4 linked regions of the Drosophila melanogaster genome follow. Changing the gene in region 2 together with the main gene of any one other region gives a genetic interaction. Each region holds a gene or a part of one and is shown on either strand. Other genes may lie near its edges.

Region 1 (8,709 bases), on a different chromosome or scaffold from region 2:
AATAATTCTGATGTTTTCCGTCAAAGATATTGACAGAAGATATTGACAGAGACATACCGTTATCATTAAAAAGTAAATATACTTTTATTCATAATATTTTTTTTGAGTGTGGTATTAATATTATTTATATATATTTAATATTCAACATGAAAATATAAAAATACGAATAAAAAAATTAAACTATGGCGGTAAAGGCAGTGGTAATAAGTAGCTAAAAATTTAAGCCGATGTACAGGGTAGTCTAAAGTCGAGATCCCCGATGTCTGTGATATTCCTTTTTTAGCGGATTAATGTGTAATGTAAAATTCGGGCACACTTACGGAACCTGTTACTTTGTTTACCTACTTGCTTGGAAATTTTGAACTCAATGCCACCGCGGTTGCCGTTCGGACAAGTCAGAAACTTATTGATTCAGGGACACATAATTCGAAGGATGAGCTCCCAACACAAGGTGTACGTAACCAGGCCGGATGTGGATGACAGCGGTCTGGAGCTGCTGCGCAAGAGGTTTGTTTTTGTTGTTGTAACCGGCTATTTAGTTATTAGCATAGACACTAATTTCGACATGCACGATTTTGCTCAGCTGCCAAGTGAGTACCTGGCATGAGACCAATCCGGTGCCCCGCTCCGAGCTTATCCGCGTCGTGGCCGGAAAAGATGCCCTTTACTGCGCTCTAACGGACAAGGTTGACAAGGAAGTCTTGGATGCTGCCGGTCCTCAGTTGAAGTGCGTGGCAACTATTTCGGTGGGTTACGATCACATCGACGTGGAGGAGTGCAGGAAACGTGGAATTCGAGTGGGCTTCACACCGGACGTCCTAACGGATGCCACGGCAGAATTAACGCTTGCCCTGCTTCTGGCCACCAACCGCCGACTATTCGAGGCCAACAAGCAGGTTTACAACGGCGGCTGGAAGTCGTGGGCCCCCATGTGGATGTGCGGCCAGGGACTGAAGGGCTCCCGGGTCGGCCTGCTGGGCTTCGGCCGCATCGGCCAAGAGATAGCGGCACGCATTGTGCCATTTAAGCCGACGGAGATAACATACACAACACGATCACTGCGCCCCAAGGAGGCGGCTGCTGTGAATGCCCGGCACGTGGACTTTGACGAGATGCTTCGCGAGTCGGACTTAATCGTAGTCTGTTGCGCCCTAACCCCGGAGACTAAGGAAATCTTCAATGCCACTGCCTTTCAGAAGATGAAGCCCAACTGCATTCTTATCAACACGGCGCGTGGTGGCGTTGTAGACCAGAAGGCCCTGTACGAGGCACTGAAAACCAAACGAATTCTAGCAGCTGGTCTGGATGTAACGACGCCGGAGCCATTGCCAATCGACGATCCTCTTCTGAAACTGGATAATGTGGTTATTCTCCCCCACATTGGCAGCGCTGACATCGAAACGCGCAAGGAAATGTCCCGGATTACAGCCAGAAATATTCTTGCTGCCTTAGCTGGCGATAAAATGGTAGCCGAAGTAGAGCTGTAAGCCGTGTAATCTCAGCGTACAATGAATTTTTTCCACATCTTTTTAAAAACATCTGTTTGTAATTATGTACAATGTTCTAATTAAATATTTCGTACTTTCAAAGGTATTTTAAAGGTACTGAAATTATTGAAACACTTGTATTACGCCGATGACAGTGCTCGCAATGAACTGATCCGTAAATGGTCGTGGCCACTCAGAATCGAAATTTTTGTGTTATTTGCGTGGGGTATACTCCCAATCTTTTGATCATTAACAAACAAAATTATATTCCTTTATAATGTATGTGGGTGCGGTCAAGACCTTGGTTTTATGTATTATCGCCTAGAACAGTGAGTTTATAAAATTATAGACCTTATCTTATTAAGTAATTTAAAAATGTGTATGAGCAAACAAAACAATTAAACTGCAACTAGTCCTCGCCAGGCGGCAGGGGCTGGTTAAGATCACTGCCTATGGGGGGAGGAACTGGTAGTGGTACTAGAGACGTCAGTACGGGCACTGTGGAAATGACACTAATTTCTGATGGATCCGGTGCCTCTTTTTTAATATGCTCGGCACTGATGTAACCGCCGCTTTCGTCCTGAAAAGAAGATACTCGTATGTAGTAGCTGAACGTCTTCGATATTGGTTCGGTATTTGAGTTACTATTATTTCATTTAAGACTAAATCAAAAAATGCATAGTTACCGTCACGAACACATCAACTGATTTCCCGGAGATGATGTCCAGAACCTGCTGGGTTATACCACTACCATTCATTGGTTCATCCTGCATGCTCTCCGCGTATTCCGACAATGCTGGCCTTAAATCGGGGCACTGCTGCAGTGCGTCCACCAGCTGGGCGGGAGGAAGGTGCAGCAGGATCGGCATTGACTGCGGTTTCAGGCGCTGCACGGTCTTTAAAAAGCCCTCCCAGATTACTTTTTGCCGCCAGACCTGCTTGATTATCAGACGCTGCAACAAGTTCATTACAAAGTTTGCCAGACGCGGGTACAGAGTTAGACTCTGAATTGTTGTGCGCATCATCAGAGTAGGCAGCGGAGTAACCTCTACAAGCTGTTGCAGCACAGCCATAAGTACCTCCTGTGTGTACAGATCTCTTTCAGCCAAACATAGGGATGTAGCCTTAACGATGGCTTTAATATCGCAGACACTCGTATCGATGGTGTGCAAAGCCACGAGAATATCAGTGGGGGTCATGGCCATCGTCTGATGCGCGAATTCGGCACCGATACCAAGCAATCGATTGAAAACCTCCTTGACCACAGCGGGATTAAGTTTAATCAGCTTCGGCAGAACGGAAATTAGCTCGGATCGGGTTAAGCCACTTAGCACGGGTATCATCACGCGCACATCCTTGACCTTGTTCTGGTAGAGATCCCGAACCCGCCGAACCAATTCTTCATGGGGGGATGGCACTCGCTCTGTCAGTATGTAAATTATACGGATCACTAAGGTCTCCATACCCTTAGGACAATCCTCGATTAGTTGCAGCAACGTCGGGCTTTCTACACCCATCTTTTTTATGGGAATATCTAGACTGCGCAAGATCGTGCGTTTCAGTTCGGCAGATGTAGAAACAAACACTTGACAAATTTGCTGTAAGTAAACTATCAGGGGAAGAGAATATTAAGAAATTGATTTAATAGTTTTTTTCTTCTTTAATACGGGACAGCAACAACTTACCTTCCGGTTTATAGGGCAGCAGGGTAAAGGCCAAACCAAAGCACACCTTGGTAGTGTCTTCCCGCCAATCAGGCTCCTCGGTTGGTCGACCAAAGTCCTGCGAGAAAACAGCTGCCGGCGGAGATTCCTGTTCGATAAATTTAAGCCACTCCAGAGCGAATTCGTCTATTCGAGCCGGTAGTATTTTGTGTACATGGTACAGACTGACCAGGTGGGCCTGTGCCAGATCCCGCAGATCCAGTCGCTCATGCACAGAAAAGTTGAGCAACACTCTAACGAAACGATTCTTTCGCGGCGGCCTAAGCACTGCAAGGTCCTTGATTAGCTCCAGGCCGTGCTGGGAGAACTCGTCGTCCAGGCTTAATTGAACTAGATGTCCAATTGAGACTTCCGGAAGAATGGGTGCTTCTAGATATACTCGACGAATCAAAATAATCTTATCCTTGTGATCGCAACGCTCTCCAATGCCGAAGATAAGCTTATTCAGCAACTCGTTGTAGGCGTGATCGGGTCTGTTCTCTGTCTTAACATAAGTGTGCCTTGTAAATCCTTGCAGCAGAGAGTACTCCTCAAAGAGCCAGGAAAATGCCAAATCGATACGCTGTTTTATATCCTCCAGGATGAACTCCATGATGCCGTAACGTACGTTATCGGGAAAGGTGGCAGCAATCACGGTGACCAGCTTACGGCGCTTTGATGACACTCCTCCCTTAATGCATTGCCGCTCCGAGTTGAGGATGCGACGCACTGCATCAGTTAGGAACTTCTCTTTTAAGTTGCGTGGCAGAGGCTTGGTGATCTCCTGCAGCTTCAGCGTCTTGGCGCGCTCCTTCATCTTTTCAATAACAGTCTGCTCACCCTTGGCGCGCTCCATGGTCTCGCGCAGCTTCTTGGTTGCTTCCTCCTTACGCTGAAACTCTTCCTCACTCAGTTTTTGAACAGCATCCTCGTCCACTTCCATTGCAGTTAGTGTTGATTCAATCGCTTGCACTTTCTTAACCCGCATTGGCGGCTCTCGACTGAAGGTTGCGGCACCTGGGCCTAGGCGCTTTTCAGATAGTTGTTCGCCAAAAAATCTGGAGATATTGGTTACCTGCTGCTGAATAGACATTTCGCGAATGGGTGTATATTCCTGAAGGAACTTTTGTGGCACCTCAGTGGGCAGACTGGGCAGGAACTCCAGCACCAGGGTCACAACAGTTTCAGGATTACGGAAATGCTCTGCCAGAAACTTTTCGTTAACTCGAGTAGACTTCTGTTTCTGTCGTTCCAATTCCTCAGTGTCTAGCTCCATTTCTCGCTGCTGCTGATCCTGCTGCTCACAGGCCAAGCGCGCACGCTTTGCAAGACTTTGCGCAGCATTTTCGAGGATGCGTTTTTGTCTACGAGCCATTTCCTGTTTGTCCATTTTGGGAATAAGCTTCTGGATCTCATTTGTGGAGGACCCCAGATCAACTAACATTCCTCGGATAGTGCTTGCAAACTCAAAGGCACCGCGGTTCTTCAGCAATGTCTGCAACTGCATCTTAAGGCTCTTACGCACGGAGCTTACTTGCGAGTCAGTGAGGGTGGGCGGCAGGTTGGCATTCAGCTGCTTAAAGGCTTCCACCACGGCGCCCATGAAAATGGGTCGCATTTTGGCAATTGTACACAAGCTGCTTGTGCAGGCAATCAAGTTCACTGAGGAAATATGCGTTGTTCCGTGGAACTGAAGCAAGATATCTAAAATATTGTTGCCCTCCTCTTGCAACTTTTCACGGCGGAATAGTGTGCAGTGATCGGGGACATCTGCCAGCGAGAAGTCTCCATCTCGTTTCAGACTGTCCTCGTCAGCAAAGCTCTGCAGAACCACGACGCCCTCCAAGAACTTAATGGCATTTGTACGTATGCCGTCGTTTTCATTGTCGATCATGTCCAGTATTTGCGCCTTGATTAAGCTGAGGATGTTCCACGCCTGCTCCGCACTGTCGCCGGGCTCCATGAGGCTGCACAAGTACTGCAATCCATTCTTGTAGATGCTACCGCAGGCTTGGATCACTCTTTTGATTACCTGAGCCGAGTTATCCCTAAGCAGCATAGACACGACGTTAATGACATGGGGCAGTAACTCCACCTTCACTTTACTGGGATGGAAAATATAAATCGTTTCAGCAAGAAGTTAGATCCTTTGATGGAAATCCTTACCAAACTTGCTCTACGAAGGCGACTACCTGCTTGCGAACCTCCATGTTTGAGTCGTGGGCCAAAGACAGCACGGACTCCAGGAATTCTTCGGCCAGCTCCGCGCACGATCCAAGCACAGTCTCCTGCACCTTAGCCAGCAGTTCGCACTTTGTCGAAGGCGATGCGATGACCAGCTCATTGCACCAATCGACCACCTGAATGGGAAAATATATGGTACAATACAGCAGTCCGGACTGTCTTGTCTGATTAAGATTTGTGTTCTACCTTAGCTCTTGCCGTAGCTGTCTTCTCGTCTGTGAACAGATTGGCCGTCTCCGAGACAAACTGGCTGCGTCCAATTATGCTATCCATGTTTGGTTAATTGATGCAGATTTTGCCTAAATCTGCGATACTTCGGATATTTTTAAGAGCTGCCGGCACGGATGGCAAGGTGTTATCGGTACCATTGAGAAACTATCGAAAACGGTTCTATGATGTTGGTAATTCTGCATATTTCCGGACCATCTAGCTATTTTTTGCCAGCTCTTAATGTGTTCAAAAGAAAAAGAATATTTTACTAAAAACTTGGCTTATAATCAAATGAACCGCCTGCAAACTAATTTTCCTTGCTCGTTACCGTATAAAAAATTAATAAATCACATAAATTAAGCCATTTTTGGCATATCTCAGCTTAACGCGTTATTATCGATGAGCATGCCGCAGTTGCGCTGGCCGAGCGATATGCGGGGGTGACTATCGATAAGCCAGAGGCATCGATTTGCTCACATTTCTTGGGTGTTTTAGCGTGAAAAAAACGCCTAAATAAACGAATCGGCAGCGTGTCAGGCCAGAAAGTGCAACAAACGGATCGCAGTTCGCGACGCAGTCGAGGATTGGAACAGAAGACGCCGTCGAAGGTGCCGAAAAACGTCCCAGCAACCGCCAGCCGTCGCAGCGGAGTGTTTACTGGGCGAGGGGTGCAGTGGATGAGCTGTGTGGGCGCGTGCGTGTGTATGTGTGCGCCAGTGAGTGGGGCAGAGGCAGCGGCAGAGGAGCAGCGGCGGATGTAGCTCGTTGCCCGGACCCCGTAGTGGATACCACGAAAAGCTAGCGCAAACGTAGGCAGTCCAACAAAGAAAATAAACACTGGAAACCGAAGACGACGAGGCCTTCTGGAACTGGAACAGCACTGCTCAACAGCCGCAGCCGCGTCGGTGACCGCACCCTAATGTCAAATAGCCAAGCGAATGCCGGCATCAGCGGTAGCACGGTAGCGGATGAACCCATCCAGCACCACCCTTCCTTGGCGGCCGGCCCCGTAAGTGCATCCTGCCCAGCAGCGACCCCGCCGTCGCAGTCGACGCAGCAGCCCCCGCCGCACATAGTTAGTGCCTCAACAGCTGATGCGGGCAGCAGCGCTGCGGTCGGCGTCGGCGTCGTAGCTGGCAGCGAGGGCGTCAATCTGGACTCGTCGCCACGCGAGTCCGGGGACGATTCGGAGGATGAGAGCGAGATTTTGGAGGAGTCGCCATGTGGACGCTGGCTGAAGCGACGCGAGGAGGTGGATCAGCGTGACGTACCCGGTATTGACTGCGTCCATCTGGCCATGGACACCGAGGAGGGCGTAGAGGTCGTGTGGAATGAGGTGCAATATGCCAGCCTACAGGAGCTGAAGTCGCAGGAGGAGAAGATGCGGCAGGTGTTCGACAATCTGCTGCAGCTGGACCACCAAAACATTGTCAAGTTCCACCGCTACTGGACGGACACGCAGCAGGCCGAGCGACCCAGGGTGGTCTTTATCACCGAGTACATGTCGAGCGGATCGCTGAAACAGTTCCTCAAGCGCACCAAGCGCAACGCCAAGCGGCTACCGCTGGAGTCGTGGCGCCGGTGGTGCACTCAGATTTTGTCCGCACTCAGCTATTTGCATTCCTGCTCGCCGCCCATCATCCACGGCAATTTAACCTGTGATAGCATCTTCATCCAGCACAACGGCCTGGTCAAGATCGGCTCGGTGGTCCCGGACGCGGTCCACTACAGCGTCCGGCGCGGCCGAGAGCGGGAGCGTGAACGCGAACGAGGCGCCCACTACTTCCAGGCGCCCGAGTACGGCGCCGCCGACCAGTTGACCGCCGCCCTCGACATCTACGCCTTCGGGATGTGTGCCCTGGAGATGGCCGCCCTGGAAATCCAGCCCAGTAACAGCGAGTCAACTGCCATCAACGAGGAGACCATCCAGCGCACAATCTTTAGCCTGGAAAACGATCTGCAGCGCGACCTGATACGAAAGTGTCTCAACCCGCAGCCGCAGGACCGACCCAGCGCCAATGATCTGCTCTTTCACCCATTGCTTTTCGAGGTGAGTTTTCAAGTCAATTATCTTGTTCTAAATGCTATAAATTCAAGACCCGCATAACAATTGCCTTGTCAACTAGACCTTGCATTCTAATTCTCGGATCCATCGAGTGAGAGATTTAGTTTAATAAGACACCTGATATTATTAAATTTTATTTTAAGTAAATAATTGAAATCTGAAGATTTGAATAATTATATGATTTAAATGCACCGTTAAATATTTAAGTTCTAAATTTGGTTTTATCCGAATCATATCGTAAATTATCTTAGAATTTAATATATTATATTCATGTGTATATTATATATATATGTATATAAATGGAAGGAGAACTAGTAATCAGTTGATAATTCTACAATCCATTTTGACTGTAGTATATTATTTATTGCTCACAGTCACTTATATCTTAAGTTCAAGTTGTGGTTAATATGTAACTATACATTTTATTTTGATTACTGAGGGTCTGTTGTTTTATTTTCATACCTGTTACTATATTCGTTAAGAGGAAATTAACGGGTAGAAGGAATCGTTTTCAGCCCTATATTGTTAGCGATTCTTCATTAGAATCGTCCACTCCAACGGAAACCCCATAGAACTGCCACGCCGATACTTTGGTCTTATTTGTCTTGTCAATATCCATTGGTATGCCATTTTAAAGTGTGGAAACTTCTCGTTTGCACTTCAACTTGAGTCTGATATTCGAGAAAAACAGTGTAGCGTTCGCTCTTGTTGACTTTAAAATATAAATTTGTACATGGTTCAAATGACATTGCAAGGTATTCTTATAACACTTTTATAAAGGTAATTAACTGAAAAACTCAGTAGTTAATAATCAATTTTTTGCTGCTATTACTACAGGTGCACTCCCTCAAACTGCTGACTGCCCATTGCCTGGTCTTCTCGCCCGCCAACCGCACTATGTTCTCGGAAACCGCCTTCGACGGCCTCATGCAGCGATACTACCAGCCGGACGTGGTTATGGCCCAGCTGCGGCTGGCCGGCGGCCAGGAGCGGCAGTACC
Region 2 (5,744 bases):
TACCAAGATCTTCACTATTCCGATAAAATAAAACGTATTTTAACTTAACTTTGTTTTTTCATTGGTTTCGCGAATTTTAAGGATATAAAAAGTAAAGGAAACTATTGTTTGGCTCCCATCTGTAAGTTGAAAAACGGATGACTTTATGATGGCAAGTAGAGCAAAATTAGAAGCAAACTTCGAGCCTTTGTAATTGCGTCACAGATGCGGCTTCATGACTTTAACCCTTCGACGGCGAGCGGAGGAGTGCTTTGCGCCGGGGATTGCCAATGGGTTAAGACTCGTACAATCCCTCGCATGGCTTTGAAATTTTAATGGGCTTTAAGCGAGTGAACAGGGGCGTGGCTGTCGCGCTTGAATTAACAAATTAATGCAAATGATTTTGGAAAACATTCAGCTCGGCTTGTTTTTCCCTGAATGCCCCGAGAGGATGTCTCGACTTAAGCTTAATTCAATGAATATTTATGAGGCTTCCAGAATATGCCAGTCGCTTCTTATTTTTGCATCATCATGTTACGGCTGCATTTCGATTTGAGGCTCTAATTTAATTGCAACCGTGCAGAGCTGAGCAGGACAACAACATCCGTTTCCGCCTGCCACGACATCCCGTCAAGTGCGGCAATCGCATTAGAATGCGCAGCGGACCTGTCCCTCGCACCTCGCGTCCTGTGCATCCTTCGCCTGACGGATGTCTTGCGCTCCCTCCACTCCCGTCCGTCGATCATTGCACTTTGGAGACCCGTAATCTGGAGTCAGACCCGGTACCCAGACACCGTGTCCAACACAATGCCAGCCGGAGGCTAGCGTCGACTCCTGCTCGCTGCACTCATTTAATTGCATTATGCCGCAGGTTGTCGCATTGCCCTGAAAGTCCTGGCTGCCACTCCGCCACTCCAAAGACACTGCATTAATTTGCATGTGAAAAACTGCAGCTTCGCTGCGCTGTCGGTGTTGTTTTTTTTATTTTTTTTTATTTTTATGGCTGCTCGCTGTTTTTGCCCAGAGTTAATGAAGTCAACAAGCTGCGGCTGCATTTCATCAGAGTGAGAAGCGGCGGGCCAAAAGGATTTGCCAGGAACAATGCTGTGTATAATTTCCCCCTGTCCTAACAACTGGTGAAAGTTTATGTTACATTCGCATGGGCAGCAACATAATTTACTGCCCAGAGAGCCACAGGAATTCCAAAATCCGCTTGGTTAGTTTTTTTTTAAGGTATAGTATGCATTCTAAAAGTGATTTGATATTTGGCTTTAAAATTTCATTAAAAAATCAGAGATTAACTTTGCAAAACACATATTCTTGTTTTCAAATTCCACGTATTACAAAAACTTACACAAATCAAGCAATAAACATCTTCATTCATATCTAAATGGTTGACTTATTTAAGAGTACTCTTATTTTACTTATAAACTTATTTAACAATAGAAAAAATATAACTAAAGTATTAAAGTATTTTATACATTTTCGTCCTACTTACGTGTAGTACAAACAAAACATTTGGAGCCTTATGGATTTGGTAGCATGAACCAATAAAGTAACATACTTGATACCACTTCCATTTAAAACTTGAAACAGCCCTTTTGTCTGGGAGGAACGCGTCGAGTACGATTTTGGCTTACTTCCCGTTGAAAACAGAAGCTACCGCTGGCTCTGCTCAAGATGTTCTCCGCAGTCAACCAGGAGATGTGCGCATGCTCACCGAATTTTCTGATCGAATTCCTTACTCTCTGATGGGCACTTGCGGCCGAGTCGTTGTTGCGGTACTCAAATATATAGAAGAACTGGTCTAATTGATACTCGTAGACTCGAACGATGGTAAAGGGATGTATCTTCAACATCTCCTGGTACACTTGCCATGGTCTAAGCGACGATTCTACGTTTTTGAGCACCAGCTCGCGATTGTTGGTCGATGGCTCCACCCTTAAGCACATGCAAAGCTGTCGGAATCGCATTGGCAGACTGGGATTATTAGGGTTAGTGCTGTTTTATGTGAAAATTATTACGAAGTACGTACTATTGCATTGCCGATTCCTTGAGGTCCACATTGATATATTGCAAGTAGGCGTAGCCGCGAGAATTTCCCGAAAAATCAATCTTATAGCGCATAATGTAAACTTCACCCAGTTCGCTGGCCACTTCCACAATCCACCGCGGAGAACAACTGTGATTCCTCGGTATACACGAGAGAAACAGCTAGAAGCAAAAACGTATTAGTGTCTCCGTAAACTTTTGAGACTAGATGCTTCACTAGACACTCACCTCGCCCTTTCCCTCATCCAGTAAGGATTTTAGATTTTCATCAAGGACTTTGCGCGTAGTTATGGTAATAGTGCCATTTACTTGACTGGTGCAGTATTTGCTCTCGAAATCCATTTTAAAAATAGCAAAAAAAAAAAAATACACAGCATACACGCGTGCATCAAAAAAAAAAAAAAAAGCTAAGATGCCAATGATTTAGTGTGACCAAATAAGCTTTAAAACATACAACGCTCGCGACGTTGCCAGATAGTCAATGAAGTTGGTAAAATTCTTTATACTTAACACTTAGGTAAAGTAACGGAGGGGCATAAACTTATTATTGTTTATGAACTTGTTTGAATGTTTAACATTTGTGTAAAATAGAGAGTGTTTTCATATTATATTTTTGCGTAAGAGGTCTTTTTTTGGCATTGCTGCGAACTCAGCTCTATACGAAGGTATTCTATTTTTGCTATGTACTTTATGCATTTACTTTACTCTTTTTCCAAACCGCTTTTTGCATGTCAGGCAATTTCTTTGCTCTTTATTTTTGCTTTCTTTTGACAGGCTGCGCGTGCTTTTTTCTAGCTCATGTTTAACAATATAAATTTATGCAGGCAGTCGGTCGTTTGCAACTTTTGCTCACAGTTCGCCACAAGCCGCAGCACCTATGTATGTATGTATGTAGGTTCGCATCGCATTCGCTGTTGTTGTTGCTGCGGTTAAGCCGCCCATCCGCCACCCACTCCACCACCCACTCACCCCACCAGGGGGCATCTTGATGGAGGTTGCGGTGCACTCAAGTGCCTGCTGCCGCTGCTGCTGCTTCATTTTCCTAATTTATACGCGCGCTGCGCTAATGAAAATTTACGTGGCAACCGCATACTGTTTTGTTGCTACTGCTGTTACACTAATAATTCATTGTTTCGAAATGGCCATAAGCAAATTACTGACATTAAACTATTTGTGGGAGGTAACATGTTGTTAGATTAATACACAACAGTTTTCTTAAATGAAGTGGTAAATGCAAAAGCTATCACTGTGAAGTCCAGTTTAGTCCACGTAGTGTAGAGACGCACCAGGTAAGAGTGTTTCGACAAGAAAATCCATTAAGTTCTTTGAAAAGTAAGCTCTGATATTCTTTGTTTAAAGTGTAGTGTCGCTGCTCCTTGTGCTTGTTGCCAGACGTGGGCCCACCACTTGAAGCATCTCTGAGAAACCCTGAGCTCCACTTTTGACCCCCCTCCCCTTTCTGCGGTTGAGAGACGTTTGGTGACAGTCGCCGAGTAAGGCCACTAGTCCCACTTATATTTCCGCATTTCCTTACCCGATTTGAGTAAGCGGTTTCATTTTATTCAAATCATTAAAATTACAAATATTTTTTGGGAACAAAATCAGTTGATTCCGGTTGAATATGCGAATGTGGCCATGAAGGATCTAAGCGAGGAGTTACTGGATCGCCATTTCAGGCAGCAGCTAGCCAGTTACAAGTATGCCGATCAGGCAAGGGCTAAGCAGTCGGATCGCCCCATCATGGCCAGATGGATAAAGATATTCGAGAAGGCTCCTCTCAGCGAGAAGTTGGCCCGAAATAGCCTGATGCTGCTCATGCATGGCCACTTGAAGGACTTTGGAGTGCTCAAGGAACCGTTCACGGATGTGCGTAACTACAGTAGGAATCTGAACGTAATTTTGGATGAGTACAGAGGCCAGCCATGTAAGAAGTTAGCTACTGGCAAATCACCTACACTGCTCAAGAAGTGCTCGACTCAAATTTTACGACCCAGGAAACTGGAACCCATCAAGGAGGTTTCCGAACAATCGGAAAATGATCCTACGACCAGTAGTTTTGCCAGCATTGTGACAATAATACGAAAAACAAATACGCGATCCTCTGACTCGAAGGATAGCCAAGTTTATCCAAGGACTGGCTTCGAGTCCCCAAATGGTGCTGATAGTCACACTGTGAAGAAGAGAGTCGAACTATTGGAGTATGAGCTCTCGAGAAATAAGCAGCATCCATCGAGCTCCACATTCAATCGGGATGCACCTGACAGCGGAAGAACCCATTCCTCCAGTTCCTTATCCCAAGAGAAACTCATCAAGATCACCAATGTCATAGATCAGGTCAACCGCCGATCAAGTGCTGTGAAAAATCTGAGGGATTGCTTTGAGGAAATGGCCGAACGTTTGAAAAACACAATCGAATCAAAATATAAATCGAAGATTCCGCCGCCAAAGCCGCCAAAGAAGATTCATAAGGATGTTCCTGCCGAGCGAGCCAGTGCCCAATGCCATTCTCCTATTGGCGTTACGGACCCAACTGTTCAGGGATTGCTGATGCGTAGAGAACAGCTGCGTGTCCAGTGCTTGGCATACTACAACTCGGATGGCACGATGAAGGATGTGATGGACATGCCTGATCTCTCAATGGATACTATGAAAGCTGAACAGAGAGTCAGAGGGTTCATAGTTGGTGCCTACAAGGCCTTGGAGCGTCTGAAACGCTGGCGCGGAAAATCCAAACGGTTGAGATTTTTCCAAACCTGCTTCCAGAAATTTGGGCTTCGTAATTTTTGGGAACTACAGGCTCTGGATCGAAGATTCGAGAGGGTGGCGCTCAAGTGGTATCGCCATAAGGTGATGGCATGTCTACAGAACACCTGGCTTACTTATCGCAGAAGCATCTTGGCCCAGAAGCTATCGTACGACGAGGACGATCTACAGCAGATGCGCCACCAGATTGAGCTGCAGGAGGAGTTGCAGCGGGAGCGAATGGTCCACCTGGCCAAGATCATGGAACTGTGCAGGAGCAACTGTCACGGGATCGTCACGCATAAAGTCCTTAGCAAGATGCTCGATCGCCTGGAGGATGAACACGACCAGCTGGCCCGGGATCTCAAATCACTGCTCCGCCAGAAGGACCAACTGTTCCAGTAAAGCATCCTGCGAATCCGCAACTTTTCTCGCACCAGATTTTTGATATCATTTTGCACCTTTGTGTAAGCCCGTTTACACCGCGAGCTACGCTGCTCGTTAATTAATTTAAATACTACGCTTTATTAAATTAAGAACTGCTGACAGGGATACAAAGTGAACGGGCGAGTTGGGGAAAGGGACCAAAGCTGGAGATGACTACACAATAAACAAACAATCTACTCGTAAACAGCAGCTATTTTTTAGTTATGCAATGTTTCCGTTGCAGCTTTGCGAAAACCAGAAACGGAAGCTGCGTTACAGGGTTAAAATAGAATAGAATAGACATTTTGTTAGCAAGCAGGGATTTAGCAGCAAAGCCAGTCGGTAAAGAATACAAAAAGCAAAAAAAAAAAAGGAATTCAGAAAAAGCCGGGAAAAAGGCAAGCGAAAACTGTCGCTAAAAGCAGTTTTCCAAAGTACTTTCCATCGAGTTGGCTGGGCGTGGTCGCCATTGAAGTCCATCGGTGGTCAGAGAACTTGCCGCAACTTAATATCCGCAAAGTATCCGATATATATATACACATATA
Region 3 (9,108 bases), on a different chromosome or scaffold from region 2:
CCAAGTGGAGATCTCGCAAAAGATTCGCATCGAGGAGCGCAAGCTGATGATAGCGCAGCGCAAGCTGGAGAGCATACGGACTCTGGAAAAACTATTTGAGCGGATACAGGTGGGCAAAAGTTAAAACCTAAAAGTCAATGTTGTATTTTAAATGAAAAGTTAAATGAAATATCGAAAAATTCGTTTTCTTTTTAAAAGTACAGCAGTGATAATAATACTTTTTTATATTTTATTCTTTAATACAGCTAAAACAAAGGGACAAAAACCGGCGAGTCAAACAAGATGATGACAAGGACATCCAACGTGGTCGTCTGGTCGAAAAGTACAAGGCTGCCACTGAGAAACTTGTTTGTGATCAGCGCAAAATCGTACAGGAAATAAAAAGCAATACTCCTCTTTTGGGCCTTCTGAAGAGCAAAAGCAAGAAGAGCGCTGTGCCCGTAGACGCCAGCAGCGAAGACGAAGCGGCGGCCAGTAAGCGACACAAAATGGGAAACGGCGTAACAGAATCTGCGCCACCAGGCGATGTCAACTCTGCTCTGAACCCTTTGAATGCGGTGGCCGCAATGGCCGCTGGCGCGGTTCCGGGACCAGGAGGTTACAGTGCTAAGGTTGCCAGCGAATGGATGCAGTCGCTTTCGATGTTCGGATACGGCCTGCCGGGAGTTTTTACCGGAGCGCTTTATCGGCCACCTGCACCGTTCCCAGTCTCAAGCAATTATCGTGGCTTTGCTCCGAGACCTCGCGGTCGTGGAAGAGGTCGTGGCATCGGCATAAGAGGGAGTCGTTCCGGATATGACACGTATTACAACACGAAGCACGATCGCTACGACGACGAGAACGAGAATGGCTACTACCACCGGTCTTCGCGGGGGAGGTACGAATCCAGCATAAAGTTTGTGTTACACTTAAGTCAAATGTTTTTTTTTTTACACTTTGTGATTTTCAGAAATAGGTCGCGTTCCTCATCGTCGTATTCAAGGAGTCGAAGCCGCTCCCGGGGACGCCGGTAATTAATGCGTGATGCTTATAATCTCTATAGATTACTATTAAAAATATAGAATTGTTTGTCGTTCCAGGCGCTCGAAGTCACGAAGTCGCTCCCACTACCGAAAGTCATCTTACTCATCGAGATCCAGGTAAATTTAAAATAAAGGACCTTCCCAGTTCCTTCGCTTACCTTTTTTTTAATTTTTACTATTAATGTTCCCGAATATTCAATTGCTTTCAGGCGCAGCCACAGCAGATCCTCCCGCAGCCGCAGCAAAACGCCGTCACAGCGCAAGAATCGAAAGCTGGCGTCTACGCGCCGATCTCGTTCCAGCAGCTATTCCCGGTCGCGATCACGCTCGCACTCCCGCAGGCAATCTAGCTCCCGCCGGGATCACCGGGGCCGACATCGTAGCAGTCGCAGTAACAGCAGAAGCCGCAGCCATACGCCGAAAGAAGTCATCCTGGAGGCCGACAAGCTGGTGGCTTCTGCCGAGAAAATACAGCGCACCATCGACCAGCACACCAAGGATCGAATGCGCGAGGAGGAGCGTGAGATCAAGGAGAAGTTCAGACACCCACGTACCAACAGCCACAGCAGCAACCACATGGACGCCGAACCGCAAGGCGAAGCCAGCGAAAGACGTGGCAGCATCAGTAGCCGCAGCAGTCGTCGCAACTCACTTGCTGTCTGAAACGTATTCACTAGTTTCGTTGTTAGTAGGAGTTCCATTAATAAAGTAAATCAAAGTTGTTCTCCAACTACACTTGTCTTGTGTATTTTCAGTTTTATTAAAATTAAGTTAGCGAATTTGTGCAAAGTATCTCATCATTTACTAAAACATCAAATTGTAATTATCGGAATTAATTAAAAGAACTGCCAATACAGTACCTAAAATGCTAACTTTCATCTTCAACCTAAATGGTTCGAAAACCAGAATAAAATGTTAAATCTTGATTATTCCTAGAGAAACAAATATCCATGTAAGTAAAATTCCTATTCCAGAGACTCCATTGTAAAAAACTCTTAAAAAAAGTCGGAAAATTACACACAACACGTATAATATATTACAAACCGAATTTCTTTTCTTTTCTTTTCATAATATAAATTGATTTCAGCATTACAAAGCAAAAGATGCAAAGGAGATTGGCAGAAAACAGTGTTGGTGGGATAGCGATTAGTAACGTCTGTTGTTGTTGCGACCGCGATTTCGGCCACTGCCCCCGCCACCTCCTCCACCACTTCCACCGCCGTTGCCAGGACCGGAGTTGTTGATGCCACGCCGGCGACGTTGGCCACCGCCACCGCGATCCCGGTCGTTGAAACTTTCCGCGCCATTGTTGCTAAAGCCATTGGATCCATTGCCATTGCCACCAGGATTGCCATTGTTCGACCAGGGTGCATTGGAAGCCCAGGGATTGGGCCTGCCACCGGATTGGTCTCTCTCCCGTTCGCGAGCGCGCTCCCGCTCCCTGTCGCGATCTCCTTCTCGTTCGCGATCCCGATCCCTTTGCTCCAGCGGCGGTTCATCCACAAACTCCGTGTTGGGTTGCTGTGCTTTCGCCGCGACCAGTGACTGCAGAAAGGGCTTTTTACATTGCATTAGTTCTCGAACGCACACCAACTGGGCGTTATGCTGACGTGGTTCGAAGCGGGACTTCTTGGTGGGCGGGGAGACCATCTCCCCACGTGCCTCCACTGTGGGTGATACAGATCTGGACCTATCCCTCACTGGGACTACATCGTTGAGCTCCTCCAGCTTGCCAGCGTCGATGTACTTGTTGAGAAACTCGGCTCCCTGACGAATAGCAGCCATCAGTCGAGAGTCCGGGTGAACGCGAATGAACCGGTTGTACACGAGAACGCCGACAATGGTCTGTGGATCGAGGCCGTTGAGCATGCCGCTGGCCAGGATGCCCTCCATTGTGTTCTCGCTGATTTGCTGGTGGTTCAGTCCATTGGTGGTGTCCTTGGCCTCTCGGGCGGCCAGCTCCTCGTGAATGCTGAGCACGCTGGGATCGTCCGCTCGCCGGGGTCCTGCCCAGTTCACCTGGAAATTGCGGGGAATGGGCTTGCTGTAGGGAACCTTTTTCTCCCGGTCGCGGTCATTTATTGCTTTGCTTGGATCCAAATCCAAGCCAGGAATAAAGCCTTTGTCGGCAGTTAAACTTTCAGTAAACTCCACCCGGTCCTCGGGTCCCATTCCGGGTATAATTGCATCATCTGTTGGGAGAAAAGGGTATATAAAAGCATTGGTTTTGTAGGTCAAAAAAAGGGATAACAGACCGTATTCACACTCATCCAGAGCAGCCAGGCTGGCGGGCAATGTGTTCAGATTGTATTTGTCTCTCATCAGGTCTCCCGGTCTGTTCCTCGTCCAGAATTTGATCGTATGATCATTGGAGCCGGAGCACAGAATGTGACCCAGTGGGTGCCAGGCCAGAGTCCAAACGATGCTGTCGTGTGCCGTCTCCACACAGCCGATCTCCTTGTCGGTACTGCGAGCGGGGATTGTCATTAATCCACTTATCTTTTAAAGTGTAAACAGAATGCTAAGACCCACCCAACATTCCAAAACAAAATGGAGCCATCGGAGCCGCCGGAGCAGAAGAGGCCTTCGTGTATGGGATGCCAGGATACGGAGCTGGCCTCCTTCTTGTGGCCACGGAAGACCTGAACCTCCTCACGCAGGTTGCGAATGTCGAAGAGCTTGAGCAGATGATCTCTGGATGCGGTTACCAGCCAGTTGCCATTGTCGTTCCACTTCAGATCCATCACGGTGGATTTGTGGGCGTGTCTATTGATGATTGAAAAAATGTGAGTATGTGCAGTAGAATCCATGATAAAGATTCATCCAAAAAGAAATACTCACAGAGTAGCCAGGGCAATGCCGCTCTTGGGATCCCAAATCTTGATGGGTTGCTGGTTGTCCTTGCTTCCGCTGACGATCATTCCCTTTTGTGGATGCCAGTGCACGCACTTGACGTCAGCACCGTGGCCTTTTTGAGATACATGGTTAGACTCTGTATTGGGACTACCTCCTACTAAATCTCACCTCGTAGCACTCGCTCCTCCTGGCACCGCATGAAGTCCCATATCCTCAGGGTTCCGTCGTCGCTGCCGCTGACGAACTTGCTGTCCGTGGGACTGAAACTGAGTTTGGTGGATTGCATTGGAGAACGTTAGAACGTAACAAAACACGGGTTAAATGATGATAATGAGTGTGGGCGGAGTTAGTTTGATGAATTGATTGATTAAACTTTAAATTCAGGATCAAGTTTTACTTGACTAGGTACGCGAAGCTCACAATAATATAATACAATATAAACTCTTTACAGTGCGTAAAACATTTGACTTCCAAAAATCGATCTAGAATCATCATTTCATTTTAAGTGACACGAAACAATATAATATAAAATCTTTTACCGGCCTGTTGCAAAATAAAATGTTTAAATATGCTTTAAAAATTTATTTTTGACTTACAGATATCGAATAAATAAATCCTCTTAAATTACAGTGAATGTAAAATAATTGAGCGTATTAAAAGTTACCAAAAGATTTTCTTCAAAAAAAGTAAATTGTTACCAGCACAGCTCTAAATAATTTATATAAATATAATGCCGATTTTCTTGATCGATTGTCCTTGGGCCAGGATTATTCGGCAGTCTTGAGAAAGAAAACACTCAAACCCCCGATTTTTCGAACAATCAGTGCAACACAATGCATTTTATTTATTGTTGATTTTGTGGCCGCGGAAAGAAAATTGTGCAAAGGTTTCATTTGTTCTCAGTCAGATGGTTTTATTGTTAGCTTTTCTCAATATTGCATTTGCATCATTTCACTTTGTCTTTTTATTTTTCATTTTTTATTGATATATCACAGAAGAGTTCGGTGCTTACAACATATTTGAGTCTTTTTGTTCTAGTGGAGGCGAGGTTAAAACTTATGTAGCCAATAAGGCGAAGCTATATGTTGGCATGTTGCTATATTGACGGCTTTATTGATATGTATTCGCAACAGCCCTAAAGGGAACCGATCCACTAAGTTGATTAGGCAACAATAAATACCCATGACTGCCCAAGCGACCCAAACTAAAGGAATTATGTGAGCAACGCGAATCTGGCTTTGGTTTTGCCTTGGTCGGCTGGTGTCATCGGCTACAAAATGGTAAATACATTCGACAATTACAACTATATACCTTATTCCCCTAATCGCCTCCTTGTGCGCCTGGTACATCTTCACGTTGTTCATGTTGGACTGCCAGTACTTAACATAGCCGCCATGGTCGCCGGTCACCATCCAGCTGTCGTTGTGCGACCACACCATCGTCCGCACAGAAATGTCGTGGGCCTGTTGGGCAACATAAGATTAGACGTGATCCCACGGGATCTGCTGACGGAAACCCACCTGCAGAATGGTCTCGAAATTAAAGGTTAGTCCGTTCCATAGCGTAAACTCGCCGGAACTGGCCCCGGTTACCAAACGTCTGCCCTCTGGCGTCCAGGCCAGTGTGAAAATCGGACATCGCATCTTATTGGTAGCCGTCTTCACGAACCTTGTGGTCACCGCGTTCGAAGGATTGTCCAAGTAGGCAGAGGGCGGCAGCATATGGGGCACATAAATGCTGTCCGGCTGCAAAGCCAAACGGTCCCGATAGTCCCGCTGGTACAATCGGTTCTGCGAAAACAAAAATATATTTTTGAAATTTTAAAATGGGATATCGACATAACAAGGTCCGAAACTAATTAAAAATGGTAGCCCAGGTAACGGGCTTACCGCGTATTAACCTACAAAATGTTATAGCGATTGGCCTTTTAAATGTGTAGCTCTAGTAATGGTTTTTGAAATGAACTTTTTTAATGGGGGTGAATTGATCTTATAATAATAATAACAATACAATTCTCTGCGACTACAAATCAAAACTTCGCAGTCAATCTACTTCCATTCTAAATGACCTATGGAATCACCTCCAGTGCCTTGATGATGGACGCGTTGTAGTCAACTGTCTTCCGCATCACACTTTTTCGCAGTCGCTTGCCGTCGAAGTCGTCCTGGGACATTCCGAAGGGTCGCTGGAAGCCGCCGGGCATGAAGGGTTTGAACTGGTTGTAGCCGTGCTTGTTGGACCCATGGTGCGGATGGTAGTGACGGTAGTGCTGGCCGCCCATGTTCGGCGGGGGCAGCGATGTGAAGTTGGTGGCCAGGGCCGAGGGCGCCGTGAGCAGCTGCGGTGGCGGCTGGGATACGTCCATGTTGCGGCTGTTTTTTCCAATGCCTCTTTTTCCGCTTGGCTGCAAAAAATGTCTTCGCCCGCACACAAACACACACACAGATGAAGGCGTAGTGGGCGTATTAGTTGGACGCTATTACCCACGCAAAGCTCTACTTACTCGTGTTTTCTAGAGTGTTGGCATTGGCGCGGTGGTGGGTGTACTAATGCTTAGACTAAATAGGTAAAAACGACCTGCAAATCGCCGCGTTGCAAATAACTAGTAACTTTCCGAACAACGCGAATTTGAGGAATTCACGACGAAACGCGGACACCAGCGTGTGCTTCGATTGCAATGTTATCGATATATAACAGCAGTCAGGAGTTGAATCAATTTTATTTATCTTTATGGCCTTACAATTTAATTGTCAGTTTTATGCATGCTTATCTTATTTCTTTGAAAGATTTGTAAGAGTTGTCACCACTGTTTTTCTCAGGTTCTTATTTATTTTTTCTTAATAATATTTAAAAACTAAACATTCAGCAAAAATTGGTTCTTCTGATCTCGATATGTTTGTGGTAGCGATAGTAGCGTAGCGATAGTAGCGTAGCGATAGTGTGCTGCCAGACAGGCCTATCCAACTAATTTTAAATTATTGAATAAATAAATCATATTTTTTATTTTTAGTTTTAGTTTACTTACGGTAAATGTACTTTGCCTCCGCTAGTTACACAGTCACCAGTTTTAGGTTTTCTTTATCAGCATTCAGCAAAGAATACATTATTCTTACAATATTTTCTGGAAATAATTTTCAATCAATAAAAATAGCCGTTAAGAAAAGTGAATGACAGTAATGCGACTAAGAGATTCGAATGCTACGAATATTAATGCGGGTATTTGACTGAAAAACCACTGACTAACTTATGTTTACATTTTAAGATGCAAGTCCGAAAATATAATGAAATATTCGAAAAATATATTGTGTTCACGATCTTAGGCAGATATAATATCGCGATATAAATACTAATATATCGCTTGGATACCTCGATACATTGATATATTATCAACACCCCCTACTGGCAACTCTGCTCCGTTTTAATGGCGACCGGACCGACTTGCTGCCTACTACGTGTTTGACATAGAAGACACTTTTGTAGCCGATTCTAGAGCGTTCCCAAAGCCACTCGAACTGCGCAGAGAGTGGATATTGTTGTCAAAACACTATTTGTGAATACGCACGCTGCTGCCATACGCCAGTCGATTCTGATCTCCATTTCCCACACCCGGACCTCTAGAGAAAAGTGTGTGTCTGTGTCGCAAAGTGCCTGAATTTTCGTTTTGCCCGTCGTTGGCTCGCGAAGTCAAATTACCCATAATGGCCAGACTCACAAAGGTCTACAACACGGACGACGACGACTCCGGTTACGTTGGTCGCAGAAATTTGCCCCTGGTGGCTGGCGATAAATTAATGGTAAGCATATATCCGCACCGATTTCCGCTATATGTACGGCCGTCTATCCAAAGAAAATGACTGCCAGCAGAGAACACACGTACACAGACGCACACACAACAGAGACGTCCGCTGTGAGTGTGTGCGTGCACTTGGTCCAAAAACTTTCATAACACGGCGGATTGTTATGTGTAAGTGGCGGATGGTGACGAAGTGTGAGTTCGCTTCTCTTTGCTTTGAATTGGTGTGTATCGTGCATTTATTAATTGAACTTGAGCTGCAATTATGATTCTGCACCTGTCACCACCCACCGAACTCTTCTTTCTCCGCCTCCCTGGCCACGGCCGCCATGTTGCTGGAAAGTGCAACAACACGAACCTGTTTGTATGCACATCGCATGCACTCCGTCACCATCTCTAGAGGTGATGATCTCTCAGGCTCAGATTCTCTGGCCAAAATCTCTAGTTAATGACATCGGTTGCACACCCGACCCCTATTGTTATCGATACGTTTGAAGGTGGATTTATGCCAGTGTCCAGAGCTCCGTTAGTTTTTTCAAAGAACAGCTGTTGTTTTGTATGTATTGTATGTTTTCTCGGATTATTATATTTAATGCAAACAATTAGACGTTATATTAATACTGTCGGTCATTTCACCGCAAATATCATTGGATCGCGATCCTAATTATTTATTTACTTACAGCGTTGGATAAAAGTTCTTTATAATACTAATGTAAACATATCAGTTGTTCTTTGCTAACTAGTGCATTCGATCAAATAGATCAGATACTCACAATACCATTTATGTACCATAACCTCCCCTGATTAAATTCTCTACTTTCTCTGCAGATGCTCATGGACCTGAACAGCAAAGGTCTAGTGATCGACAGTCCGCTGATCCGCGGACGTGAACTGGAGGAGTTTTCACGGAAATTCAAACTGCTCACAGAGGCCGAGCGCCGGCAATCGCTGGAGATCGACAGTGCCAGTTTTATGGAAGTCCTCAATCAATGTGTCCAGTGCGTTGGCTGCCGCAGACGCGTAGAGCGGTTGTTTCACCAACTAACCGAGACGGGGCACCGAACACTTGATCCGCTGGAACTGCGACCCACTGCCACCCTGGGCATTGTGGAGGAGAAGCTTAAGACTCCGCAGGCACTGGGAACGCTGCTCTACCGGCACCATGAGGTTCTCAACAACCTGCTGGACAACAAACTGCGAAACAAGACGCGCTGCGTTCTTCATTCGCTGGACGCCTTTCGTGCCAAACCCTTTTCGGAGACATGGCGAGAGGTGTGGTCCGCCATGAAGAGTAACTGCCGCAACGAGTTAACCATCATCGAGACAAAGGAATTGCACGACGTACTGGAGAACTACCTGAAGAAGCACAAGTTTTGCTCTGGCTGCCGTACAAAGGTTAGATATAGGATATTAAAATTAATGACCTGAATTGATTCC
Region 4 (8,834 bases), on a different chromosome or scaffold from region 2:
AATTAATTCAACTAAATCTCTACCCATTTCAAATCGGCCAGCGGTTTAAATATTTTGGGTATAAAGCAACGCTTACTTAATGTGTACTAATAGCGACTTCGACTCAGACCAAGTCTTCGACTCTTTTTGGGTTGCATGCAAATAGGGGACATGTCCTCCGCATCCTGTCTATTCTTTGTACAGTCCTTGGAGCGATTTAAGTCCCTGTCGGCCAGCGGAGTACTTGTCGAGGAAGGCTTGGGAGCGAATCGCTCCATAGTGGGTAAGGCGCAGGAAGTGGAAGTTTCAGTTGACAAAATGATCTTTCGCTTTCTTTTTAGTGACAGGAGGTTCCGGCGAGCTATTACGGACTTCTTGGTGGCCTGGTCCAGTGGTGATTTGCCGGCAAGTTGCGATAGTGAGGAGTGGATCTCCTGCGACCTTCTGGGTGTCCTCACCAATGGCTGGCTACACAGCGGATGCTCTTCCTTTGCAGAATGCTCCACGAAGAAGTCGTGTTTGAAATGCTCAATATCTGAGGTATTTTTTAGACTTTGTACATTGCAAAAAGTTGGCTTGTTGGCACTGTCTTCTGCCGCCGCTTCATCTACGAACTTGGCATCAATATTTCTCGATTCCTCAGAGATCACAGTTGGTTGGTTCGAGTCAGTGCTTGCATCGGCGGCTTGAAATTCACTCATGAACTGTGCAACTTTGATTTTCGTATTTTCCGAAATCACAATTCCTTTATTTGAAGCGGTACGAAAGCCGAAGAATTCGGTCTCAGATACGGTTTTAGTATTCACAGCCTTATTATTTTCAACATTTATTGAATGAATCTCATTGTTTGGAGAGGTGGGTAGAACATCAGGAAAATCGCTTGGCTGCCACCCGTTTAATTGGTCTGTAGCTTTAGACTGGGCCAGAAACATGGCTCCTCTCTTCTCCATCGCCTCGGTAATCTCAATGGCTTTGTTTGACGCTGTTCTAAAGCCGAAAAACTGTGATTCATTTAAGTCACGGCAAACTGGGTCAAGTGTGGGTTGATGCGGTTCCCGCATTGTAGTATCAACGACCACCAACTTGGAAGCTTTCGATCGCATTTCCTCTGAACTCTCTATTGATCTTTTTAAGGCTGTATCAAGTCCAACAGACGTCGGTTTGTCATTTGGCTGATGGACTAAATAATCATTTTGTTGAATTGTTTCTTTGGATTGAAACTCAGCCATAAACTCTGCAGTTTTGATTTTCATCTTCTCAGAAATCGGAATTGCCTTATTTGAGGCTGTGCGAAAGCCACAAAACTCGGGCTCTGCTATAGTATCGTTATTGAGAGGACTGAATTTTCCATTTATTTCTCCAACGTCAACTTTAGCTATTGCATTGTAGGTTTCCTTACCATCCAATATTTCGATGGGCTTGCTTGGGGCTGATTTGAATTCCGCACACTGTGTTGATTCCATTACTTGACTATGATTATCGGAGTATTCCTCAGTACGTAAGTTGCACTTGTGACTAAAGTGATATAGGCCGGATACAACTTTGTCTACAAACTCTTCGCCTTTAATTTTCATTTCTTCCGAAACCTCGATAAATTTGAAGGACTTCTTTCGAATGCCATTAAGTTGATGACTGCTTATGGTCTGACTTTTATTAGGAGTCTGCTTTTCTGGTTGCTCCTTGTCGTCCAGATTTATTGAATTGATGTTTTCTTTAGGCCCTTGAATTGCGTTTTTGGAGGTTGATGGGCCATTAGAGCACTGCATTGGTTGCCAATCATTAAAAAGAAACTCCTCAAGAAGCTCGCCGTCGTTCAATAGGTTTTCTTGCTCTGCAGCATTAGGCTGATCCAGAATAGTAGTTCCTTCGTTTTTCGTGTTAATATCACAAGATTGTTTTGAGGCTCCTCTAACCTTTGATGCATTTGAATCTTTGCTACTTTTTTGTTCTTTCTGGGAACTTGGCTCCAACTTTAACTTTTTATCGGGTATATGTTTGATTACATCTTTGGAGATCTCGGGCAGTTCCATCGGAGTTAGCCATTCACTTAGTGGTATGCCTTCTAATATGAAGTTTGTGTTCTCCTCTATGTCAACATTTTTTGCTTGCGTTTGGCCCATCAAAAGTTTCTTATTTTCAGCAATTTCGACATCAGCTTTTTTCAATGTAGAGTCTGCATCAGACCAAACATTACGTTTTCCACTTTCTATAAATAAGGGTTTATATTAATGAACTTCGCAACAACATAAATTGCATATGAATTACCCAATCGGAGGCGCGTAGTGGGAACCGATTGCATGCTATCGCCATAAATAGTGTCTGCCATAGTTCCTGGACCTACGTACATATAAAAGGAGTTACAAATGTGTTTCTTGCCATATCGATCCCACTCCCTACCTTCCTGCTCATGCTCATTTTCATAGAAAGAGGCCTCAAATGTAAATCCGCTCTGCAACAGGTCATCCCTCAAGTTCTCCAATTCAGCGTTGAAACACTCGTCACCAGAATCCTGCCTTGCTTCGGTTGGCAGATCTATTTGCGATGGGACAGGAGTCGGACCGGAAGCTGTCGCGGTCGCGGAAAAGTATTGACTGAGGTTCAAAAGGACCTCGTGTATCTTCTGTGATGAAGCATCGAAATCACAAGCCATAGATGTGAACGAAGTATTGAGATCCCTCTGCACGGAGAGGCCTGAGGAACCTCTACGCTTCTCGTTTTGAACGGCCTTGTGGCTTTTGGGATCCCTCTTCCGGCTGTAGGTTCTGATCCTTTTGTTGCGAAATCGAAACCACGGCTCCGACTCATGGCTGGGCTCATCCTCATCCTCTGCGTATGTTGGAGACGAGCAAAAGTCGCTCATGATCATCTCGACCTGGTCCTCGGGCGTGGGCTCTGCGTAGGACAAAATAAGATCCTCCACGGCGACGAAGTCGCTGTTGTCCACCGCAAGCCGCTCGTGACCCCGAGTCCGTCGAGCGATGGCGAAAGTCTGGCGATCGGCTTCGCATATTTTGGCCATTTCGTCGATAATGTTACTCCGATTTGCCGCCGCGGAAACTGTGGCGCCACGTTCGCGCGCATGGGCTCCTCTTCCTTGGGATAGCCTGTTCGGATGACTTCCCGATGCGCCATTCTGGTCCATCACGTCATCTAATTGTTTAAATGTGTTTTATTTGAAGTAAGCAAGTGTCCAATGCTTTTGTGGTTGCATTTCCAAAACAAGGGGTGCAGTGTTGGTAAGCGTTGCTTTGATGGCCATTATCCGCTAACTGTGGAGGGTGGACTTGCTAAGCAATCGGGAGCGAGAAAGTCATCGATGGTATGGCCAAGAACATGAAGGCCTCACGTATCGATGGCAGATGCATCGATGTTTTTTAACATCACTAATCACTAGTAGCGACAGTTTTTGCATAAAATACAATTAAATAATAAAGGGCCATCGCCGAAGCTGCAAAAACCAGGTTTTACACTGCTGCAATTGCTGAAGAGTCTAGTTTAGGTGCCACTCGAAAACAATACCGGAAAGTGTTACGCGAAAGCCCAGCAGAGCCCCAAAGAATCAGCCCAAAAGTGAAAGCCCCCAGAAAAAGTAAAGTACAAAAGAGCGAAAGGAAGAGCCAGAGAGGTAAAGAAAGAGAGAGCGAAGAGCGTTGAAAAGAGTCTGTGCGAGAGAAAAACGATTTTTTCAACTCCGCGAATCCTTGGTCATATTCCGTGTGCAAATCCTGGTAAGTGGGCATTCCGCTGGATTACGACTAGATTGGCCATAACGCAGATTCCCGACATCCCAGGTAAATCGGGAAGTGAAGTGAAATACTAGGACCAGGACAAGAACGCCGTCAAGATTCTCGGGCCCATCTACAGCGGTATCCAGATCCAGAGCCACGGCCACCAGGACGCAGAATCCACCTACAGCACCTACAGCACTCCACTAGCCGCCACCACGCTCCACAAACAGCCAGCAGCCATTATGTTCGTCAACTCCATGACGTTCCGCGGCAATCCGGCGAACTACCACCAGCAGCAGCCGGCCCTGAACCACCACACGCTGGCAGCGGCGCACCACCAGCAGCAGCTGCACCACCACGCCGCTGCAGCTGGTCACCTGAGCCACGTCGGCGGTGGGCACGCAGCCAGTAACCACCTGGCGGCCGCCGCTGTTCTCGGACGGCATGGCCACAACTCCCTGGGCAGCGGGCACACGTCCACGTCCTCGCACTCGGCCAATGTGGGCGTGGGAGTCGGCGGGGGAGCTCTGGCTAGCGGCTCCACTGGGGGCAGCGGAGGCAACAGCTCTCCGGACAGTGGCAAGATCTATATCAAGAACCTGGAGCGGTCCATCGACAACAAGGCGGTGTACGACACGTTCTCGGTGTTCGGAAACATCCTAAACTGCAATGTGGCCAAAGACGAGGATGGCAATTCACGCGGCTATGGGTTTGTGCATTTCGATTCGGAGGAGGCCGCCCGAGCGGCCATCGAGAAGGTGAATGGGATGCTGTGCAATAATCAGAAGGTGCATGTGGTCAAGTTCATACCACGGCGGGACCGGGAGCAGGAGAAGGCCACGCACTTCAAGAATCTGTATGTGAAGAACCTCAGCGAGGAGTTCACCGAGCAGCATTTGCGCGAGATGTTCGAGCCCTACGGCCGCATCACCAGTCACAAGGTACGTTGTTTGGTCACCTCATCTTCCCTACGGGGATGTTCGTGGGGCCGGGTGGTTGGACGACAACCATGTGGCACAGTTTTGCACTCTCTTAAGTCCTCTCTTGCGCCATTGCTGCGCATGCCCATGTAGCCACGAGGAGTTTGTGACGGCGGGGAAGATGAGGACTCCACCTGGCCCATCTGTGCTAATTTGTTTATATCATCGATTTGCTTTCTCCGATCCTTGCAGCTCATGCTGGACGAGGAGGGGCGCTCCCGGCGTTTCGGTTTCGTCGCCTACGAGAACCCACAGTCGGCGCTGGCCGCCGTAATTGGCCTGCACGGCAAGCAGCTGGGCGACAACAAGTTCTTGTACGTGGCAAGAGCCCTCAGCAAGGCCGAGCGGCAGCAGGAGATCAATCGCAAGCTGGAGGAGCGCAAGCGGCAGAAGGCCGGCCAGATATTCTACTACTAAGGCTTCGGCGGCGGCAGCTGATCCAAGGACATCGCTAGGAGTTGACTTGGAACCCACACACATACAATACACACCCATATATAAACCTATATAGATATTTACGAGAAATTGTATCGAGCAGCTAGGCGGACATTCAGGCAGCAGACGGACGGGAGGCAGCTCCTTCGCATATACACTTAGATGTAGGCAAAAGTCTTGCAACACAGTTGAAATTTATAGAAAGAACACAGGGCAGAAACAAAGGGAGGGAGAGGCAGAAAACGAGCTCTCAACCGAAAGGATTTTCTAGGCATTAGGACAACAATTTCTTAGCACTCACTAGCGTTTTTTTGGAATTAGATGTTTGTCTTTACTGTTGAATTTAGTGAGCAGGGGCTTTGCTGTCAGCTTCTCGCCTAAAGAACACATTGCGTACACACACGTATTTCGAAATGTATTTACCCACACAAGGCCAACTTTCACACTGGCCCCTTGGCATTAAGTCTAGATCGTGCGATCGCAACTAGAGCTACGCCCAGCTCAGTCCTGGGCAACATATGAATATTTACACTTACCTAATATATATGTATTAAAACCAAACTAAACCAAGAAACAAAGCAAAACGAAAACAAACAAAAAAAGAACAAAAAACAAAATGGAAAAACGGAAAAAATACAATTGATGTAACCCCTATTAACAAGTGAAGCACCCACTCCACGTATATACATAACATATACATATATCTAATGTAACTCCACACGCTGTAGTTAGAAAGCGTTTATAATACTCACAACTCCCTACGCTATAACTAAACTTTTGACGAGGAAATCAAGTGCAACCATTGCGAAAGCGAACCCTACACGTAATTTATAGAGTAGACGCCGATGCGGACGAGGAATAGGTCAGAGCTGGAGAGGAGAGATCCGATATGGAATTAGCAGGGGCCCAGCGCCTATCCTGCGGACAGTACATGAGTATTAAAATTTTAGCGATTACAAGACATTTTTGTAATTAATTGTACATTGTTTCAAGTAGCAGAAACTAAAGTGAAACCACAAAACAGGACAGCAAGACAGTAACGACCGTAATGTAACGTGAACAAGATGAAAGTGAAAAACTAATTGAATGTAACCAATCCAAGAAGAAGTGTACACAGTGCAATGTTTAAATCTTTTAGAATATTATTATGGATACAAGGCACGAAAGAAATCGCAAAATCGAAATAATTCAAAGCACGCTGTATGTAGGCAGGCGTGTGTACAAGTTTGAAATGAAAGCAAATACATGCATAATTTAAGATTATTGAGCTTAATTTTTAAAGTGTTTCCGAGAACAGAAAACGAGAGCAAAGTGAAAAGTAAGAGGAAATTATTAAGATACCCTACAACGCTAAACTCACTCGAAATTTGTAAGATTCAAGTTTTGCGTCTAGACATATACACAATGTATAGTTAAACAGTACCACACACAAAAGAGGAAAATTAAACGACATAAAATAGTTATAACGATGGCAATATTTAGGATGGCATAATTAACGAACCCTCATTTGACCATATTTATTTCCATTACACTTCATTTTGAGCTTAGGTTGCCCGCTCCCCGGGGAGCTGGCGATGTTACGACTCTAGTTTCCAGGACAAAGTAGGATTAGGCCTCCACAGTGTAACTCACACAGAACATATGCAATATGAATTTACAAGACAAGCAGGAGAAATTACGCAATTGAATAATATTTACACGAATGTACAAAACAAAAGAGAAAGAAATGAAATTTATTTTCCTTTGCCAAGCAAATGCAACATACTTCTTATTATTATTATTACGAATTATAATTGTAATCGAACTTCATCTTTGGTAATTGCTTTTGCAGAATTTACCTAAAAACAAAATAAACGAGAAACTAAGGAAAGAAACACCCAAGGATAACCCTTTTATAGTGCTAAATTTTTAGAGTACAAGAAATGTTTGTTCAGTCTCACAAAATTAATTGATAGTCCCATTTCGAGTCCCATTTTGAATCCCACACTCCACACCAAGTTTAATCAATTGTGCACGTTTGCTAATGAGACACCACCATGCCACACCACACACGACACCTGCATTCGAATCTACTCACAAGATCCTAGTTTATTTGAACCTTTGCTTGGACTGGGGCGTTTGTGCCCCTCGAAGTCCGATTTTAATGACTAGCGAACCCACAAGGAGCACAGATAATAGCGACACGGATGGCGTATAATATATGCATTATATATGTAATTCCATTGAAGCGAAATCCTAATTATAACATATTACGAATACCTACTTATTAACAAACCTAAAAACAATCGAAAATGAATAATGAAAAATGAAAAATGAAAAAGAACAAGAAACGGAAAACATTTAACGATGAAAATCAAGATGCAGTGAGCAGAGACATGTGAAACTTGAATAAAAAAATGCTTTTGCAAAAAGTGTTTGAAATTGCGACCCGTCGAGTTCTTAATTATAAACTTGATTTGATTTATCCTTAGTACATTTAAATGGGTGGTCGTCTCAATAGATCCCACTTGAAGCAAGCGATCTCCACAGCTAGCATCCCTATGCCGATCATGGTGCCTCCCAAGTAGGCAATCCAAACGTAGTACAGGTCGTGATAGGGCGATCGTGGTAGGGCGATGGCGCGGGATCCACGGTGTAGTTCAGTTTGTCTCCTCAGCAGAATCCAGGCAAACCAGAGCTAGCATTTTCCTGCTGACTCTTCCTTTAAGGTAGATACTTTGATTAGCATTGAAGTTCAGGTGTGGGTAGCGTTCAAGGTCGAAGTGCTCCCAGCAGACATCGTTCCCTCCAGCGCCTCCAAGGAAGAGTAAGGTTTCAAATGACAGCTCCAGCCTTAGAGAAACAAGGATTTTGTTCAGGTAAAGCACTTCTTGTTGGGCACAAGTGAAGCCCAAGCAAACCACTGTTTGCTATATTTAAATGGAACCGCATCTTAGAAGCAACGACTTCGGCATATTTCTGCAAAAGTTCTGGCTGGGCTGCATTTATAGGGCCGAAACTAGTTGGTAGTTGGGAGTTGGTAATAAATTTCCAATCACGGGCAAGACTAAATCTGTAACCATTAACCCGTGCAAATGAGAGAACGTTTAGCATTCATTCGTGGTAATGTGGCCTTTATTGGTAGTCTGGTTGGGGAGATACGAATAATCCGTTTAGAGTGAGGAGTTCCCCAAGTGCCACCTGTAGTGAGCTACCTCCAATAGGAGCGCCAGACAACTAATGATAGTTCCTCCCAGGAAGGCCAGCCACACGATACGAAAGTCGTTCCACTTGAGATCGCAGTACGGGTTACCCTCCTCCTCCTTGTACGAGATCTTCCCGAGAGCCACCAGTTCGTAGTAGCTGCGCCGGAACCAGTAATAGTACAGTCCGGTCTCGCGAGTTAGAGCAGCATAGCGGAGAAGGGACTTGTGGAAAATTGAGTTCCGTGGCAGCGGCAAAGACATAACTTGAAAAGGCTGGAGCACCATGTCGTAGGATCGTCGGAATAGGGGTCGCCGTAGCCTCACTTGGGACAGCTCTAGAAAGGGCCAAAGGCTGGTGGTCACTGGGTAGGCGTAGGAGGGATCCATTGAGATGCGCCTTCTCTGGAAATCCGTCGAGTTCGTGAGCTGAAATATACTGCCGTAGGCTGTCATAAAATCTGTGCCCAATATCAATGACATGTACTTGAACTCTTCGGGGATGGTAAGGACTTTTAGATGCAGGTAGC

What was found.
Region 1: of tut (region 2) and Sym, changing one enhances a phenotype caused by changing the other (phenotypic enhancement), as found in Drosophila melanogaster (one study listed by BioGRID).
Region 3: of tut (region 2) and Wdr33, changing one enhances a phenotype caused by changing the other (phenotypic enhancement), as found in Drosophila melanogaster (one study listed by BioGRID).
Region 4: of tut (region 2) and CG4612, changing one enhances a phenotype caused by changing the other (phenotypic enhancement), as found in Drosophila melanogaster (one study listed by BioGRID).

Annotation. Positions count from the first base shown.
Region 1 is NT_033777.3:5,736,422-5,745,130, forward strand, and holds Sym (symplekin), read right to left. Parts: upstream 6,056-8,709; 5' UTR 5,708-6,055; coding exon 5,621-5,707; intron 5,551-5,620; coding exon 5,357-5,550; intron 5,296-5,356; coding exon 3,173-5,295; intron 3,097-3,172; coding exon 2,174-3,096; intron 2,068-2,173; coding exon 1,897-2,067; 3' UTR 1,757-1,896; downstream 1-1,756. Other genes in the region: CG1236 (uncharacterized protein), read left to right, coding at 368-507, 584-1,487; Madm (MLF1-adaptor molecule), read left to right, coding at 6,564-7,694, 8,547-8,709. UniProt on the Drosophila melanogaster protein: Component of a protein complex required for cotranscriptional processing of 3'-ends of polyadenylated and histone pre-mRNA. Involved in germline stem cell transit amplification, differentiation and mitosis-to-meiosis transition.
Region 2 is NT_037436.4:8,208,299-8,214,042, forward strand, and holds tut (tumorous testis), read right to left. Parts: upstream 2,446-5,744; 5' UTR 2,374-2,445; coding exon 2,260-2,373; intron 2,194-2,259; coding exon 2,015-2,193; intron 1,960-2,014; coding exon 1,560-1,959; 3' UTR 1,279-1,559; downstream 1-1,278. Other genes in the region: CG8006 (uncharacterized protein), read left to right, coding at 3,667-5,178. UniProt on the Drosophila melanogaster protein: RNA binding protein that forms a complex with bam and bgcn, involved in 3'UTR-dependent regulation of a subset of mRNAs. Preferentially binds a long isoform of mei-P26 transcripts.
Region 3 is NT_033777.3:5,658,099-5,667,206, reverse strand, and holds Wdr33 (WD repeat domain 33), read right to left. Parts: upstream 6,573-9,108; 5' UTR 6,382-6,572; intron 6,296-6,381; exon of another isoform or gene 6,283-6,295; 5' UTR 6,244-6,282; coding exon 5,959-6,243; intron 5,669-5,958; coding exon 5,399-5,668; intron 5,342-5,398; coding exon 5,190-5,341; intron 4,307-5,189; exon of another isoform or gene 4,145-4,306; coding exon 4,047-4,144; exon of another isoform or gene 3,991-4,046; coding exon 3,864-3,990; exon of another isoform or gene 3,789-3,863; coding exon 3,555-3,788; exon of another isoform or gene 3,490-3,554; coding exon 3,278-3,489; exon of another isoform or gene 3,215-3,277; coding exon 2,169-3,214; 3' UTR 2,038-2,168; downstream 1-2,037. Other genes in the region: Xe7, read left to right, coding at 1-109, 246-877, 950-1,009, 1,062-1,139, 1,232-1,685; CG2182 (uncharacterized protein), read left to right, coding at 7,577-7,672, 8,500-9,066.
Region 4 is NT_033778.4:24,520,588-24,529,421, reverse strand, and holds CG4612 (uncharacterized protein), read left to right. Parts: upstream 1-3,332; 5' UTR 3,333-3,707; intron 3,708-3,770; 5' UTR 3,771-3,949; coding exon 3,950-4,648; intron 4,649-4,879; coding exon 4,880-5,104; 3' UTR 5,105-7,548; downstream 7,549-8,834. Other genes in the region: Brca2 (BRCA2, DNA repair associated), read right to left, coding at 87-2,185, 2,245-2,316, 2,377-3,121; Ir60d (ionotropic receptor 60d), read right to left, coding at 8,275-8,834.